2 linked regions of the Nothobranchius furzeri genome follow. The protein of the gene in region 2 purifies or fractionates together with the protein of the main gene of each other region. This does not show direct contact. Links are inferred from orthologs where the notes say so. Each region holds a gene or a part of one and is shown on either strand. Other genes may lie near its edges.

The links.
Region 1: the proteins of gnb5a (region 2) and gng2 purify together in Homo sapiens (affinity purification with western blotting; 4 studies listed by BioGRID and IntAct, with this or other methods). This does not show direct contact. The link is inferred for Nothobranchius furzeri from reciprocal best matches to the Homo sapiens genes GNB5 and GNG2.

What each region holds. Positions count from the first base shown.
Region 1 is NC_091758.1:20,026,972-20,035,357, reverse strand, and holds the start of gng2 (guanine nucleotide-binding protein G(I)/G(S)/G(O) subunit gamma-2), read right to left. Parts: upstream 4,547-8,386; 5' UTR 4,361-4,546; intron 1-4,360. UniProt on the Homo sapiens protein: Guanine nucleotide-binding proteins (G proteins) are involved as a modulator or transducer in various transmembrane signaling systems.
Region 2 is NC_091744.1:64,501,620-64,509,736, reverse strand, and holds the start of gnb5a (guanine nucleotide-binding protein subunit beta-5a), read right to left. Parts: upstream 4,190-8,117; 5' UTR 3,954-4,189; coding exon 3,818-3,953; intron 3,353-3,817; coding exon 3,216-3,352; intron 3,126-3,215; coding exon 3,084-3,125; intron 2,689-3,083; coding exon 2,612-2,688; intron 2,535-2,611; coding exon 2,402-2,534; intron 1,073-2,401; coding exon 929-1,072; intron 846-928; coding exon 754-845; intron 669-753; coding exon 620-668; intron 550-619; coding exon 453-549; intron 1-452. Other genes in the region: myo5c (unconventional myosin-Vc), read right to left, coding at 5,616-5,768, 5,843-5,923, 6,010-6,184, 6,261-6,546, 6,634-6,784, 6,861-6,950, 7,398-7,552, 7,635-7,896 and 1 more. UniProt on the Homo sapiens protein: Enhances GTPase-activating protein (GAP) activity of regulator of G protein signaling (RGS) proteins, such as RGS7 and RGS9, hence involved in the termination of the signaling initiated by the G protein coupled receptors (GPCRs) by accelerating the GTP hydrolysis on the G-alpha subunits, thereby promoting their inactivation.

The sequences.
Region 1 (8,386 bases), on a different chromosome or scaffold from region 2:
TAGCCAGCTGCTACTGGAAAACAACACAGAAGTCTAAAAATGCACAAAAGCACAGAAAATGTAGTAAAATCATTCAACTTTAATCAAAGAATCAGCGTAATTTAACTGTTTCAGGAACAGGGTACCTACCAAACTCTAAAAGATGGTCTTTACCCAACAGGAAGTCAGCCATTTTGGATCATCATTTTCCATCAAATAACCTATGGGACATGTTGACATTTTGGATAATATAAAGAACCTTTCAGTACAAACGTCTTAGTTTGAACATGCAGAACTAGACTCATGAACCCAGGAAGTGGGCGACCTGGAGGCTGAGCGAATCGTGGATCAGACATCTTTAAAAGGATGTTTCACTTCCTGACACACAAGAGTCCACTAAGTAAACAAACTTAGATGTGTAAATTAAACTTGTAATATGTTTTATTTAAATATTTTAGTTGCAATGGCAGAATTTATGAGGACAAGCAGGATGACTGCAGTTTTGGCAGATCGGGTGATAAAGCTAAGTTATACAAATCTGACTTTTACATTTATTTGATAGAAAGTTATTATTTTCAAAAATGTGAGCATAAAAGTCATAATTAGCACTGTAAAAATCATCACAACACAATAAAAGTCAAAATCATGATATTCAAAGGTTTAAATATGCAACAAAAATCCAGATTTGTAAGATTGGTCATTGATTGTGAGTAAAAGGTCATCCTTTAAAAAGTGAAACTCAGCATTCTGAGATAACACAAATCATAAATACTTATCAAAAATAGCTGTTGTTCATTATGAGCTGCAAGTTTATATTTAAAAGATTCTAATGAACTTTTATGATTCTGACTTTCACAACCAGATAGGAGCTTTTAATTACAACAGAATTAAATATGAAAAAAATAAATCAAGCTAATTGAACAGGAGCGAAAAAGATGTAATTGCAAGGTCAAAAGTTACAATTTTGACATTTTATGTGTTCATTATTCATTTTTATGCACAATGGAACAACGTTTTTGTATTTCCCCCCAAAAAACATCTCAAATTAAAGTTCCTGTGAGATTAATTTCATTTTATTTTTTGTGATATAATGTAGAAGAAAGTCTTTACTATGAAGTCAGTCTGGTTTCTGCCTTGCGCCGTTAGACCACCACCTCCCTCGAACCTTTGATTATCTCGGACATCTGTGTCACCCCCAGCAAGCCCTGCCATCTTGCAGACTGTGGTGCATTCATGCATGTGCATTTATACACGTGTGTGCTGTAGGTTAATCTTAGCCCCAGAGAGGCGCGGGGGGATGCAGTGGCCCAGGAAATGATGCATCCCCTCAGGAGTCATGGAGGCAGCAGGGTGGAGGATTAATGCTCCAGGGAGCACAAATGTGGCCCGTTATGTTTATTAAATCAAACAAACGGAGCCTGGTGTGTTGCTTTCTTGTTGGATTACAGCAGCAGTGTGGGGTTTAGGCCTTATTCTTAAGAGTTTGCAGCGTTTAAAGCCTTTGATACCGATGTTGCGTAACAGCAGCGTGGTTAGTGGGGTAGAAACAACACAGGTCACACCACAGCAGCAGATAAAAGGAAAAACACGGCTTTTGTGTGACCGTGGTGCATTTTATACATACAAAAATATGCATAAAGCTACAGCCTAGAGGCTCTTTTACGCAATGTCAGGAATGCAGAACTGCATGTAGAAAAGTGAGCATGTCCTGTTTACAGCGTGGGGTGACAGCAGGAATGACCAGTCGCACGTCAAAAGATGAGCTTATGGACGCTTCTGATGAGAAACAGGCTTCAACACAAGCGGTTGTTCTCTGCTTGGTCCTAGTGCTCACCCAGAGTCTATTTAATATAACGTAACGTTGTTATTGGACGGTGAAAAGTGCAGGGGACAAAAATTTACTTGGGAAAAAAGTGTGTGTGTGTGTGTGTGTGGGGGGGGGGGGGGGGGGGGGGGGCATGTCCCCCCGTCCCCCAAAGCTACATCCATGGTGGAGAAATGATTACCACCCACCAGCTGGTGTTATTTGGCTGTTTCAGTCACCTCTGAAAGTATCCACGTTATTTTTTATCTGTAAATGCAGGTTTAAAGTTGGATTTCCTGTCCTTTGTGTCACAGATGCTATTTTTAGCATCTTTTGTGGTTATTAAGTCTCCTCGGAGACCTAGACGTGAATGTTCCCCTGGAATCAATCAGCAGCTAACAACTGGGCCGTTCCCTAGGGCTGTGGAGCTTCTACAAACATCCAGGGTTGTTTAAATGTTGCAGCGAGAGCCGGAGAGCTGCTTGGACAGTTTCAGACCACAACTGCCTCTGACTGTGTGTGTGTGTGTGTGTGTTTGCATGCACTATGTTAAACGGTTAAGATTGCTGGTTATTCCACGTTTTCTGGGTCAGCATGCACACTACTGCAACATGTGTGAATGAGCTACAGTTCATTTCTAGACCGTGTTACTTCAGAGGGACTGGTGGCCATGGGGATTATTTAGTAAGCTTACTGTTTGAGCACAGATTCAGATTTACAGTCTGAATGTGAGCTAATCATCAGACTGGCACCTCAGTCGGATTTAAAGAAACATTTCAGATGTTTTAAAAATCTGTCTCTATTGGGAAGTTACAAGCACGCCTTTAGCTCTGATCTGACTGATGAGCTAAAGGCTAGTTGAAAGTTGATTGCTGCCATCTTAAAATGAGCCTAGTTGGAAAAATTCAAGTCTCATCGATAGATAGCTAGATCCAGATATGTCCAGATTTAAATAATAAATAAATTTTCTGAAAGTGTTATTTCTTTTTTCCTTTCATTTTAAATCAGATCATCGATAATGAAACATAGTCCTCTGTTTGTTCTTAGGGCTGGAGATAGATGCCCTTATTATATCTTCGTATGTAAAGCAGGAGTGTCCGAACATTTCCAAACAATAGCCATAATACTCGAGTGCAGCAACAAGAAAAGAAAACAAAGACAATTTGTTTCTTGTGTTTTTGTCTTTGATCAAATATGGAACAAAACATGTCTGCACCAACCAGCTGGTTTGGGGACTACATAAGACCGTTCTTAATTTGCAGCCGAGGGCCACAAACGGCCCTTGGGCCACACTTTGGATCACCTATACAGGTGTTGCTTTAATGCGTTAGAAAATGAAGCATCTCGTTCTGCAGACAGCTTTTAACGTAAAATATTCTTTCTTCAGCTGACGAGTTTCCGTTTGGAAAAGTTAGCAGAAATGAGGCTAACGTCAGCTCAATTCCTCTCTAATCACATCAAGGAGTTAATCAAAAGCCAACATCAAGTCATTTGAACGTTTAGCATTAAATGTGTAATTTATCTGCAGCACACCTCTTCTCCGCAGCTCTTTCATCATCTATAATCAATATTTTTGACATATGGCCTTCAGGTTGTTGACATTACATCTTTTGGTGCATCCGTCCTGCAGGATGTGAACAGTTTTCACCAAGCAGAGGCTGTTCTGGACACTAAGATAGTATTTATGACTTTGACACAGAAACACAATTCAAAACGGCGACTTGTGGAGGCCTTGGAACAGTTCCACCCAGCTGGATGGGAGCTCTTGCGTAATTCTGACTTTCAGCGTGCGTTTGTAATCAGGATATGTACCTCAGCCACACACACACACACACACACACACACACACACACACACACACACACACACACACACACACACACACACACACACAGGACTGAATGCCTGATTGTGAGCTGTGCTTGACGATGTCTTCAAGTGATGAGCAGAGAGTGGGACAAACAGCAGATCTGTATTTGTTTGCTTGTTTCTGGTGATTGAATGCTGTTGTCATACAGTATCTGTGTACCATGAAAACACAAGCCACCTCCTTATCTTCCTCCTCCTCCTCCTCCTCCTCCTCTCCTAGCCATCTGCCTGACACAACCACTACACGAAGCTTGCTCGTGGCCGACTGTTTTCTCCTCACAGAACCAAAAACGGACAAAAATCAATATTTTCTTTTCATATATCTGTTTCATCCCCTCTGAATTTGCTAACATCTCCTGAAACAGATGCTCCTAATTCCTCCGGCTCTACGCTGTTAGATTTGAGGAGAAACAGGGAGGAAAAAGAAAAAAGGAAGGAAGGGACTCCATTCTAGATTGTAAAGAAAAGAAGGGATCAGTGGATTTGAGCCCAGATCACCTAAAGCTGGGAGGTTTCTGGTGATGTTTGAGGGAGGAGGGGATTCCATGATGTAAAGCAGCCAGCAGCATCAGTCCTCACCCCTCGAGCATGAAAAAAACCCTCATCCACTTGAACACACCCTGTTTTGGATGTGATTAACCCGGATCCCACCAAAACACTACACAAACTCAGTCTGCTGCCAGAGAAAAGAGATTTAAAAGAGCCTACCTTTATGAGGATCCTTTGTTTGTGAAGCCACACACATCCAGTGCTGTGGGATCCATGCGCTCGCCCCTTTTCCTGATCTCCCTCCGTCACACACATACACTCAGTCAACGAGGCAGAGCAGATCACATCCACACACACTCCTCTGTCTGTGTGCCTTTCTCTATCTACTCACTGCCTCCCTCCTCACTGCTGCTGAGTCTCCACCCTTCAGCCAAGACACTACACTCCTCCTCCTCCCTCTTTGTTTCTTCTCTTTTCTGCTATAACGACACGTTCGTTCCCTCGGAGGTCCACAGGAAGGGCTCCAACTGTCAATCTGAGCAGCCACAGTGAACAAACTCCTACCAGCTGGTCATTTTTGCTTTTCCTTTTTCTGTTTTGAATTCATAACTTAAAAAAAAACGTGGGTTGAGAACCTCAACACGACATCCTGTGTTGCACTTGTGCCATGCAAGAGAGGAAGCTTTGAATCTGCACGTTGTGGCCGTAGCCATCAGAGATCAAAACAGACAGAAACTGGAGCAAGACGCACAAACATGCAGCTTGTTTGTATCTGGGGTTTGCAGGATGCGCTCGGATCAACAGAATCAAGTGCCGTGGGCTGGCTGTGCACCCAGGAGCTTAAGAACCTTTCTGTTCTGGGTTTAGAAAGAACTGGTAAAAGAGAAATTATTTTCATCTTCTTCCTGCTGGGGAACATTACATGATTCATAGTTAGTCAAGCCTTAGAGGGTACATCAGTTCAAATTGTACCCTTATTTTTGACTGTGTGGTATTTTTAATTACATGAAACTTGAGCCTTTTCTGTGTCTTTAATGCAAATTAAATGAGTCACTGAGTGGATTTTAATAAAAATATCAACAACCTAACTATTATGGATGTTCACTTACAGATGAAACTTGAAAAATCTGAATATGGTGCACAAGTTCATTTACGTCACTAACTCTACTTAAAAAGTGAGACTAGACTCATTCCAAGCAATGTCAGATAAACCTCAAAATCAGAATGTCAGACAATTATAATGTTGTGAATATGTTCAATATTCTAGACTCTAATCAGCTAATGAATCCACAACACCTGCAAAGGGTTCCTGAAGCCTTTAGGTCAGGGGTGCCCTGCCCAATCCTGGTCCTGGAGGGCTGGTATCCAGCAGGTTTTGTGGTTTTTCTGCTCCAACACACTTGATTAACTGGTTGAATCACCTGTGCAGCATCTCATCAGGCTCTGCAGAAGCCTGTTAATCACCTGCTGATTGAAATCAGGTGTGTTGAAGCCGAATTAAAACCAAAACAAACTGGATGCCGGCCCTCGAGGACCAGGATTGGGCACCCCTGCTTTAGATGGTCTCTCAGTCTAAGTTGGATTTCCGACATGAATGGACTTCTGCACCCTATTCTCATTTTTTGAGTTTCATCCAGCCGCATCATCAGCTGATTTTGACGGGGCTTCCACCCAAAATGTTTGCTCCTTTGTTTTCACTCATCACTCACAGGGTTGAACTGTGGCTCCAGTTTACCGCCTCCTCGTTTCCACTGAGTGAAACCATGGATGTAGCTTTTTTTTGGGGGGGGGCATGACCCCCCCCCCCCAAGCGCCACACACACACACACACACACACACACACACACACTATTTCCAAAGTAAGTTTTTGACCCCTGCAGCTTTTACCGTCCAAAACAACATTACACTATATTAAGTAGACACTGGTTGAGCGCTAGGACCAAGCAGAAAGCAGCTTGTGCTAAAGCCTGTTTCCCATTAGAACCGTCCATGAACTACTCTAATGGCTCTGCTGGTACTTGCTAATGTGCGACTGTATTCCTGACATTGCATTAAAAAGCCTCTAACCTGTCATTTAGACAGATTTTTGTATACTTATTATTAAGTCCCCCCCCCCCCCCCCCACCACCACGAGTTGATTTTCTTTTCAGCTGCAGGAGTAGAATTTTTTCTTCATTCTGTAAAATTTTGCAAACATTTTATTCCCTAAGGAGAAACATTTATGATTTGGTTGTAAGTTAAATTATCTTTGTCCACCTTTGCTCACAATTATTGACTATTTGGGAGAGCTTCTCAGTGTGTGTGTGTGTGTGTGTGTGTGTGCACGCTCACTGTAAATCTGCTTTCACGGATGTTGTGTTGCTCGCCTGCAGGTAAACCCAGCTGACCTCATTCATCTCCTCGCTGGCTGAGCGTCACGTTTTGAGCGAGTCACATTTTCCTCGTCTCCATTCATGCAGACATCATTCACTGGGAGACGTACAGTAGCAGCAGAGGTGGAGGATGGTGAGTTAATGAGCCGTGGTTCCTGTCACCAGCGTGCTCTTTGGGAGTGCCCTCGGGTCCAGAACCTCAGTGGTTCTCCACCTTTCTGTTACTGCTGCTCTTATGATCCCGTCATTCTTCATCTACACAAAGCTGTGGAAAAGTGTTTCCTCTCTCGGCTCAACCTGAACCAAGTGAAGCCTGCGGAGGTTAAAATGTGGTCTGCAATCTCCATCGGATCGTGCGTGGTGTTGCTTTTTGAGATCTTTAAGCCAACTTTGTGTTTTTAGTCAGCTGATGAATGGAAAGGAATTCAAACTCTTACAGGCAAGCATGTTTTAGTTGTTTCTCTGCTCCAAAACCTGAACCAGTGGTTGAATCCATCCATCCATCCATCCATCCATCCATCCATTTTTGGCCACTTATCAGGGGTCAGGTCGTGAGGGCAACAGGGAGGCCCAGATTCCCTCTCCCCAGCCACTTGGGCCAACTCCTCCAGAGAATCCTGGCCAGCCGAGAGACATAGTCTCACCATCGTATCCTGTGTCTTCCTTTAGGTCTTCTTCCAGTTGGATGTGCCCGGAAAACCTCTCCAGGGAGGCATCCATGTGACATCCTAACTAGATGCACGAGCCACCTCAACTGGCTCCTCTCGAGGTGAAGGAGCAGCGTATCTACTCCGAGCCCCTGCCGGATGGCTGAGCTTCTTACCCTATCTCTAAGGGAGAGCCCAGCCACCCTGCAGAGAAAACTAATTTCGGCTGCTTGTATTCGCAATCTCATTCTTTCGGTCACTGCCTGAGGCTTGTGACCATAAGTGAGGGTTGGAACGTAGATTGACCGGTAAATCGAGAGCTTTGCCTTCTGGTTCAGCTTGGGCCAGCTCCTCCGGGGGAATCCCAAGGCATTCCCTGGCCAGGTGAGAGGCATAGTCCCTCCACTGTGTCCTGGGTCTACCTTTAGGTCTCCACCCGGTTGGACGTGCCTGGAAAACCTCACCAAGGAGGCGTCCAGGAGGCATCCTCATTAATTGAAATAAGGTGTGTTTCAAAACTTTTCAACTTTTTAGTTGTTTCTTTCTAAACTACATTGGCAGATTTAAAGGAGATCGCTGAATCTAGAGATTTGTAATCTGATTACCTTGTTTTATCTTCAGCTTGATGATCATCTCTGAAGCTTTAGGTGTGGATGCAGCTGTTAGCTTTTTTCTTGGTGAGTTTTATGCCATTGTTTTATTTTTTAACCTAAAACTTCTTGACTGTGTTGTGTTTTTTTGAACAGGAGCCAGGTGTTTGAGTGTTCGGTACATGCATTACGTACAGCGTCGGGGTTATCATTCAGTCGGGGGGAGGGGCCTGGATTTTGTCTCTGGTTTGTGACCATCTGCCTCCTCCAGGCAGCTCCAGGCTCGGGCCGAAACAGAACCGCTCCGTCTGCGCGGTCCCAATGCCCCATGGGATTTACAGAGAGGTCATATCTGCAGTTGGAGACGAGCTGCCATCTAACAGTGTCAAACAACTAACACACACACCCAGTAAACACACACACACACACACACACACACACACACACACACACACACACACACACACACACACACACACACACACACACACACACACACACACACACACTGAGGATGATAGAACAGTATCTGAAAGTAAATTCCTCACACTGAAATACTCCGAGCTGAGCTGCACCTCCTGCAACAAGATAAAGGAGCAAAGAGGCAGAAAAGAGGCGAAGTCAGAGCCAGGAAAA
Region 2 (8,117 bases):
AAATGCTAGGATCTGAAAATCCTCACATATCTATGTCACACTGGATTTGTACTCATGGCCTCGCCCATCTTGGCTCGCGCCCACTCACAGGAGGGCTTTCGTTTGTTTTGTTGTTGTTTTTTTCCAACAAGGAGAGAGAGCGGAGAGTGTCCTGGTGATGGTGACTTTTCAACACGGCTGAACACGTTCTGTGAGCCAGTCAGAACTGAGGTGTGGGCATATCATTAATAATAATGAGCAATCCAGCTGTTTTCAGCCCACCTCTGCACCAGTAAACTTCTGCATCTCAGAACAGAAGCAGCATAGCTTTTTTTAAATTTAAATGACTCATAAGGCATTGATTTATAATAGAGAACACTGCAAATGTATTGAATAAACAAGTACACCACACCTTTAAATAATATTGAGGATCATATATTCAAAAGTAGTATTGAAGGGAAATAATATCATACCACTGAGTGAGAAATCAACACTGGAGACCCCAAATATGATGCTATCTTTGGAATAAATAGCCACTTCTCTATCTGCCCTCAAGTCATAAAGCCGACACTGAAACAAAAACAACCGATTTCAGTTTACTTGAAAATGTCCCTTTGAGGTGTTTAACAGTTTAACTTACTGTGGCATCATCTGATCCAGATGCAAAAGCATCTCCACTTGGGTAGTATCTATTAGAAAAAAATTGGGCTACATTATAAAACAAAGTCAGTCAGAATAGCAATCACGTTTTTTCTGATCAGGACCGTGACTCACCGCACGCTGTTTATGTCTGATTCATGAGTTTCAAAGGACTGAATGCATTGTCCTGAACGCATGTCCCACACGTTAGCCTTCTTATCGCAGCCCTGCAGAAACAGGAAAGATTAATGCGACTCCGGCAATGAAAATCGTCCAACATTTAAATAAGCAGCACAGAGAGCATGCTCACCCCTGAAACAAAAGTGTTTCCTGTCTCAGACGGAGCCAGGTCCAGACACAGTACGTCTGCTGCATGTCCATGGAAACTCTGCAGCAGCTGCCCACTCTCAACATCCCATAATGCACATGTTCCATCACCACTGGATGTCAGGATCTTTAATACAATCAGACAAAGAGAGGAAAGGTATATGCTTACTTAAGATGATGGTGCTACGAGAGTAATGGGGTGCTGATTGTCAAAGTCCATCCATCCATCCATTTTCATCCGCTTATCCGGAGTCGGGTCGCGGGGGCAGTAGCCTAAGTCGAGAGACCCAGACTTCCCTCTCCCCAGCCACTTGGGCCAGCTCCTCCGGGGGAATCCCAAGGCGTTCCCTGAGACTAATAGTCCCTCCACCGTGTCCTGGGTCTACCTTTAGGTCTCCTCCCGGTTGGACGTGCCCGGAAGACCTCACCAGGAAGGCTTCCAGGAGGCATCCTGACCAGATGCCCGAGCCACCTCAACTGGCTCCTCTCAATATGGAGGAGCAGCGGGTCTACTCCAAGCCCCTCCCGAATGACCAAGCTTCTCACCCTATCTCTAAGGGAGAGCCCAGCCACTCGTTCTCTCGGTCACTACCCAAAGCTCATGACCATAGGTGAGGGTAGGAATGTAGATCGACTGGTAAATCGAGAGCTTCGCCTTCTGGCTCAGCTCTCTCTTCACCATGACAGACCGGGACAACGCCCGCATCACTGCAGATGTAGCACAAATCCACCCATCGATCTCACGCTCCAGTTTTCCCTCACTAGTGAACAAGACCCTGAGATACTTAAACTCCTCCACTTGGGGCAGGACCTCATTCCTGACCCAGAGAAGGCATTCTACCCTTTTCCGAATCAAGACCATGGTGATTGTCAAAGACATCAAAGTAAATTCAAGAATTAACCTCTAAACTTTATTACATGAAGCTTTAAAAAACGACATTAAAAATAATAAATATTTAGATTCAAGTTTGTGTGAAGCTATATTTAAATACCACTATAAATGCATACATTTAGCTGACATTCAGATTCTGATGTAGAACTGAAGTAGCCTTCCAAAATAAAAGCTTTTATTTGTTTATTTATAACATTTATTTATTTATGTCATCTTCTTCTGTTTTTAAGCTTTTTCAAAATATTTTGTGTAAACACATCACATTTTAAAATTAGATTTGAATACCATGATGCATATTTAGTTTAAATTCAAAATGAATGTTCAATATTTTTATGTGAATATATGTTTAAATATTTAGACATACTGTGGTGAAAAGGGGGTTTTAACATTTTTACACCCCAGTTTCACTATTTACTAAATATGGCTGTAGCTTTTTAATTTATTACAAGCCAAATGGTGAAATGTCATGTGACCAGGACAATAAAACAGGAGTGAATTATTAACCAAGTCAGGCATGTGCAGCTGCTGCTTTCATCTGTGATTTTTAACTTTGTGCCTCCTCACCTGCATGTCTGAGTTGGTGAAGCTACAAGCAGACAGGTAGTTTGTGTGCATCGCCACTGACTTCTTCTTTGCAGCTAGGTTCTCGTTTTTATCCAGAGACAGAGGATACACAGAGCATTTATTATCCAGGCCCCTATGGCAGAGAAAATGAACATGGTTTATTAAAAATAATCAAAGGATTATATGTCAGGAGGCAACAAGCATACCCACCCACAAGCTACAGCGCAGCCAGATGGAGCGTAGGCACAGGCCATCACCCAGGTGCACGGCATTGTCACAGCATGCTCCTAATAAACATCCAATCAAAAAGCAGCATGAGTGGGACAGCACTGGGGAGAATTAATCAGCTATAATTAAAATAAAACCTTGAGGTTTTGAAATTTGTTCTAAACACATAAAAAAGGTGAAGAGAGAATAATCTGTTAAAATGTTTCCTCTTCCTGCCAAGTAACCCATTCACTAACCTCCCTCTTCAGTAAATGGTATTTCTTGGACAAAGACATTTAGATCTAACTTCTTATTGTTAATGTGCATTGTCTGAAACCTTTATAGCAAGTTTATGGTGCCATGGCATCCCAAAAACATGTGCCTGATCAGTTCTGCTCCTTTGTTTTTACAGATGTAACACGTAATCCCAGTGGCTTTGATGTTTTTAATAAAGGTTTTGCAATAAATGGATTACCTTGTTGGTGGTGAAGGCATCCCATACAATCACTTTTCCGTCCTGCACCAAAAGAGATGGATGAGTGAACAACCAACTGGCTCTAGCTCATGAACAGTCTGATCTCTGTAGCTGAAAGGTGAAATGTGTGACCTGTGAGGAGCTGACGATCCTCCTCTTGTCTTTACACCAGTCCATACACAGGACCTTGTTGCCATGTCCCTTCAGGGTTCTGCGGGTCTTCATGACAAACTGACCCAGAGACTCCACCTTCTCCGCCACCTGATGCACTAATTACAACAAACACAATAGTACTAATACTACTAGTAATAATAATGATTATTATTATTGTTGTTGTCATTTCTGGTAGCTGTAAGGATTGATTTATATGGTCGGATTAAAATAATCCGTCTGATCTGTTGTAAATAGAAATAATCTATTTTTAAAACGCCATTTTCCACGTTTTTTATTATTTTAGTTACAGTTTTTCAAAATTCCTCAGGCATCCTATAAGACAAGAGCTCCTAGGAGGAAAAATCAGGATGGAAACATTCGTTTAACATCGGAAAGCAAACATAGTCTAATCCTCACATCCGGCCAGTCAGATAATTAATCCCAACATCCTGTGGACGCTACAGGGCCTGACTTCAGTCTAAAACACGTCACACAATAACACTAATAAGAGTAAAGTGTTATTTATGCCGTCATGGTGTGAAGAGAGGAGTGATGGAGGCCTCTCCATTTTCAGGACTCACGCTCGACATCGTGCAGCTTGGCTCTCTCCTCCTCCAGTTTCGTCTTCAGCGTCTCCGACTCGGTCTTCAGATGAGCCAGAGTCTCGTTCAGCTGTACCTCCTGAGTCGCCATTTCAGGGATTGGAGGGGATCTCATATATGTTGACTTTGTGCGGGGAGCGACGGACAGCGGCTTACAGCGGAGCTAACAGCTGATGCTGCTGCTGTCATGACGTCACGGGGAGACGATGCTCCTGCTGTGTCAATAGAGGGAGGAGGATCTACTTCCTGGTGATGAGGCTGCATCCTTAGCAGCGCCCAGCCTCACTACTCTACAGATAAATACATTAGCTCACCGCCGCCTGCGTTACAAAGCAATAACGCGGTCTGTCTGCATTCATGAGGAAGTGTGCAGAATAGCATGATCAGTGTGCTGTTAATGATGCAAACCTGCGTGCTTCTGTCCAGAATGCTGACTTTTATGCAGGAACAGGATCAAATTGAACTATCTGGTGGTTAACGTTGACTTTGTAATAATCGATTTTGTTTGATTTTGCAATCTTATAACAGTAATAGACAAACAATTGTAAATCCACCACCAGAGGGCAGTAGACATGAATAGGAATGGCAGGTTTGTTGACGCAGGTATAATGCTGATACTCCATCTGGATGCTTTAAGACTATAAGTGGTTTGATTTGCAACAATTGTTTACAAGGCGTTAATATTTACTAATTTTTTGGGGGGTTCTATACCACTGGGATATAGGACTTTTCAGGACACGCGTCTAAAATGACAGTTCCTTCCATCTGTCTCTCACCAAAGAGAAAGTGGTGAATTGCAAGGATATATTGACCTTAACGGCTGTGTTTAAAATGGTTCATTTTAAACTAAACAGTTTACATTTTGAATATTGATCATTTTGCTTAGTGTGTATTTTTTAAGTTCATCTTCCACTTTAAACCCATCTAAGCATATTCGAAATGCAGGAGGACCTATATAAGCAGTTCAGATGTAACTATGACTGAGATCCATGTTTTGTTGCTTCCCAGTGTGTTTATTATCTGCTTGAAAAACAGCACCTCCTAATAAAACACCAAAAGTGACGGGAGAAGTCGTTCACTGCATAGACATCATATTGATCACAGATATCAGTGTCTGTGGTTTGCTTCACTGGTGGCTGTTTACATGGAGCTTTACCAGATGTTGCCAGATATGGAACAAGAATTCTACAATTTTGGTGCTGAAGGTCCACAACCGTACAATTTTGAGTCAACTGTGACACCTAATGCTGGTAGTCAAGAGCGATTATTTCATTTCAGCAACCCGCTTAAAGTCTCCGCTGTCAGGCTCCCTGCTAGCCAGCTGGACTTGAGAATGAGTTATTTTTATGATAAAGAACATTGGTAAAAACAAGGTTTTTAATCACTTTATAGAAATAATTTTGCCGTACATAAACAAAATGTAGCATTGGGTTGCTATAACACACCTGTTTGAGGTGTTAAAGATTAATCATGATGATAAAGCAACAATTTTACTGTCCAACTGACTGAAATCTAATGAAATCAATAAAATTTATAAAGCATTGATATAAACTGTTATAATACACACACACACACACATGTAATTAAGACCTAAAAATGGCGTGACAAAACTGCAAGTTTATTTACTTAAAAGCTAAAACGAAACATCTTTTGAATCTAGATCACTGAGAAGAAAATTACTTCAGTATTTCTAAATCCTTCTTACATTTATATTAAAAATTCTTTAAACAAAGGCCACTGGAGAATCAGCAAGTCATGAAGAGTGAAAGGTCAAAGGTCAGATCTTGGTCAGGAAGTCCAGCTGAAGGCTGCTCGGGACCTGCAGCAACTCGAGAGCCATGGAGGAGGAACAGAAAGGAAACGTGACCTGGAAACGATGATCTGTGTCCAGCATCAGCTGTGAAGACCCTTCATGGTCCTGCAGTAACGACTGCAACAAAGCACACAACTTTAGTTTTAATAAAAAGTAAATACTTCATAAAAATCCAGCACATTGAAGCTTGCCTGAACTCTGCGGACAAATGATGATGTTACTCTTTTCTCAAAATCATCTATGGGCGTGTAGGAATTCAGAATCTTGACAATCTGCAAAATACATTTGAGTTTTGCCTCCAGAGTTTAAGAAAAGTTATAAAAAGCAGTTAGATAATAAATGTTGGCGCACGAGGTACCTGAACAGGGCTGAGCTCGGTGCAATTGTCAGCGATCTCTTTAGCGTCCTCATCAGTGGACTTGTTGACTTGCAGCAGCCAGGCAGCCTGAGCCAGCGGCCTCAACGTATCGATGGCATTAGAGCTCTGTAGCTCCTTCTCCTTCAGCCACTCCTCTAGATAACTAATGTTACATCTAAAAGAACACGGCTACGTTAAAACCAAAGCTTCCTTTTTTTCCTTCAGATTTCAAAAAGTTGAACCTCACTGACCTGATCTGCATCCCTTTCCTGCAGGAGCACATGTCTTTGCGGAGCATGATTTGGTTAAAGGTGGTGGCGCTCACCAGGAAGAACAGCTGTTTGATGGACTGTTTGATGAGGCACCTCTCCATGCCGTGGTGGCTCATAGCGGCGTGGAAGTTGGAGAGCTGCTGCAGGATGGAGGAGATGGTGTAGCTCTCAGCCTCGTTGTAAACGCTGTTGGAGCGTTTTCTGAAACCCGTCGGTTTCATGCTGGAAATTCCCTGTAGACTCTCGTGCTCCAGCATTCCAGGAACTATTAAGAACACAAAAGCACGAGTTAGTTTAACTAAAAGAAAATTTTTCTGTATGTGGTGATGCTTTTATTCCTTTCTTCAAACACCAATAGCGGGAGCGAGAGTCTTCTGCATGACCCTGATGAGCTGGTGGTAGATGTGTATGGCCAGGTCGCTGAGAATCTGTCTGTGTTCGGACAAATCAAAGTTCTGCAAACAGTTCTTTTTCTGCCGAGGGGTGCTCTGTTTCTGGAACTCCTGAAAAGCAGGACGGTTCGATTCTGTGTGAGAATACGCAGAGGTTCAAAGTGTCTACAGGTGAGTAAACTCATACCTCCTCTCCACTGTACTGTTTCAGACAGTTGAGCAGCTGGTATGTGTTTGAGAGCCAGAAGGACAACAACTCCATGTTTCTGTGGTGAGACTAAAACAGAAATAAATACCTCGGATCAAACGTCTCAGACAAATCAAACTGGATCTTCCTCAGTTTGAAACATCTTTCATCAGCATTTTTCTACAGCTAGCATAACACAATATTATTTTGTTTTACTCAAGTGGGTCAAACCAGATCTGTTAGTAAGCATGCACATAGGACCAGCATGCCTGTTTTTGTTTACTGCCCAAGCAGGGGAGGCAGCGATGAGTAATGGAGTTAATTACTGGCATTGAATAAATAATCCACCAGCATCTATTTTAGTATCTATACAAAAGACTTTTACTACGTCCCGTGGTGCACCTGTGGCTAGTTTACTTTAAATATTCATAATTTAAATGATTTCTAAATCATTCATTTCTGTTTAATTGCACACATTCTTCATACATGCCATACAGGTCCAGGGGTCTTGGACAGAGGATGGAGGGTTTTCCTCACCATGACGACCTTTTTGATGGCAGTAATGATCGCGTTCATCAGAGACTTGAGTTTGGTGTCGTCGTTCAGGTAATCTGCATGCCGCACGCACATGAACAGGATGTGAGCGGGCAGGGTGGGGATCATACTCACCACCACCCCTTTGGGTTTCAGGTCTGTGGACAAACATCATAGCTCACACAGCTGCTCAAACTCAACAAAAAGCCCCTTAAATACCATCGTTAGAGAGTAAAGTACCAAGGATGATGTTCTGAATGAGCCGTGGTTCGTGCTCTCTCCTGTATTCCAACATGCCGAGGAATTCTTTGGGAATAATGGATGTTGTGTTTTGTTTTGCTGCATGAGCAAAAGATGAATGAATAAATAAAAAACATTCAATTAAAAGACAACCTGTTGTAGAATCTGCAGCTCTACCTTTCTGTGATGTCTCCAGACACTTTATTTGATTCTGGAGTTTCTTTATCAGTCGGTCTTTCTGGTCCAGCTGCTCTTCAAAGTCCTGGAAAACAAAGGAAATGTGTTTCTGCCAGTTGGGAGGACATTTTAAATCTCCCTCTCTGACCCACAAACACACCATGTTCTCAGCAGTCAAGCGTGACGTCTCCTCCCTCAGTTTGTTCTTTGCTTCTCCCTCCATCAGCTGCTGCCTCTTCAGGTGAGCATTCTCCTCCACCAGCTCCTCGATCCTCCCTTGGAGCTCTCCTTTTGCCTCCTCCAGCT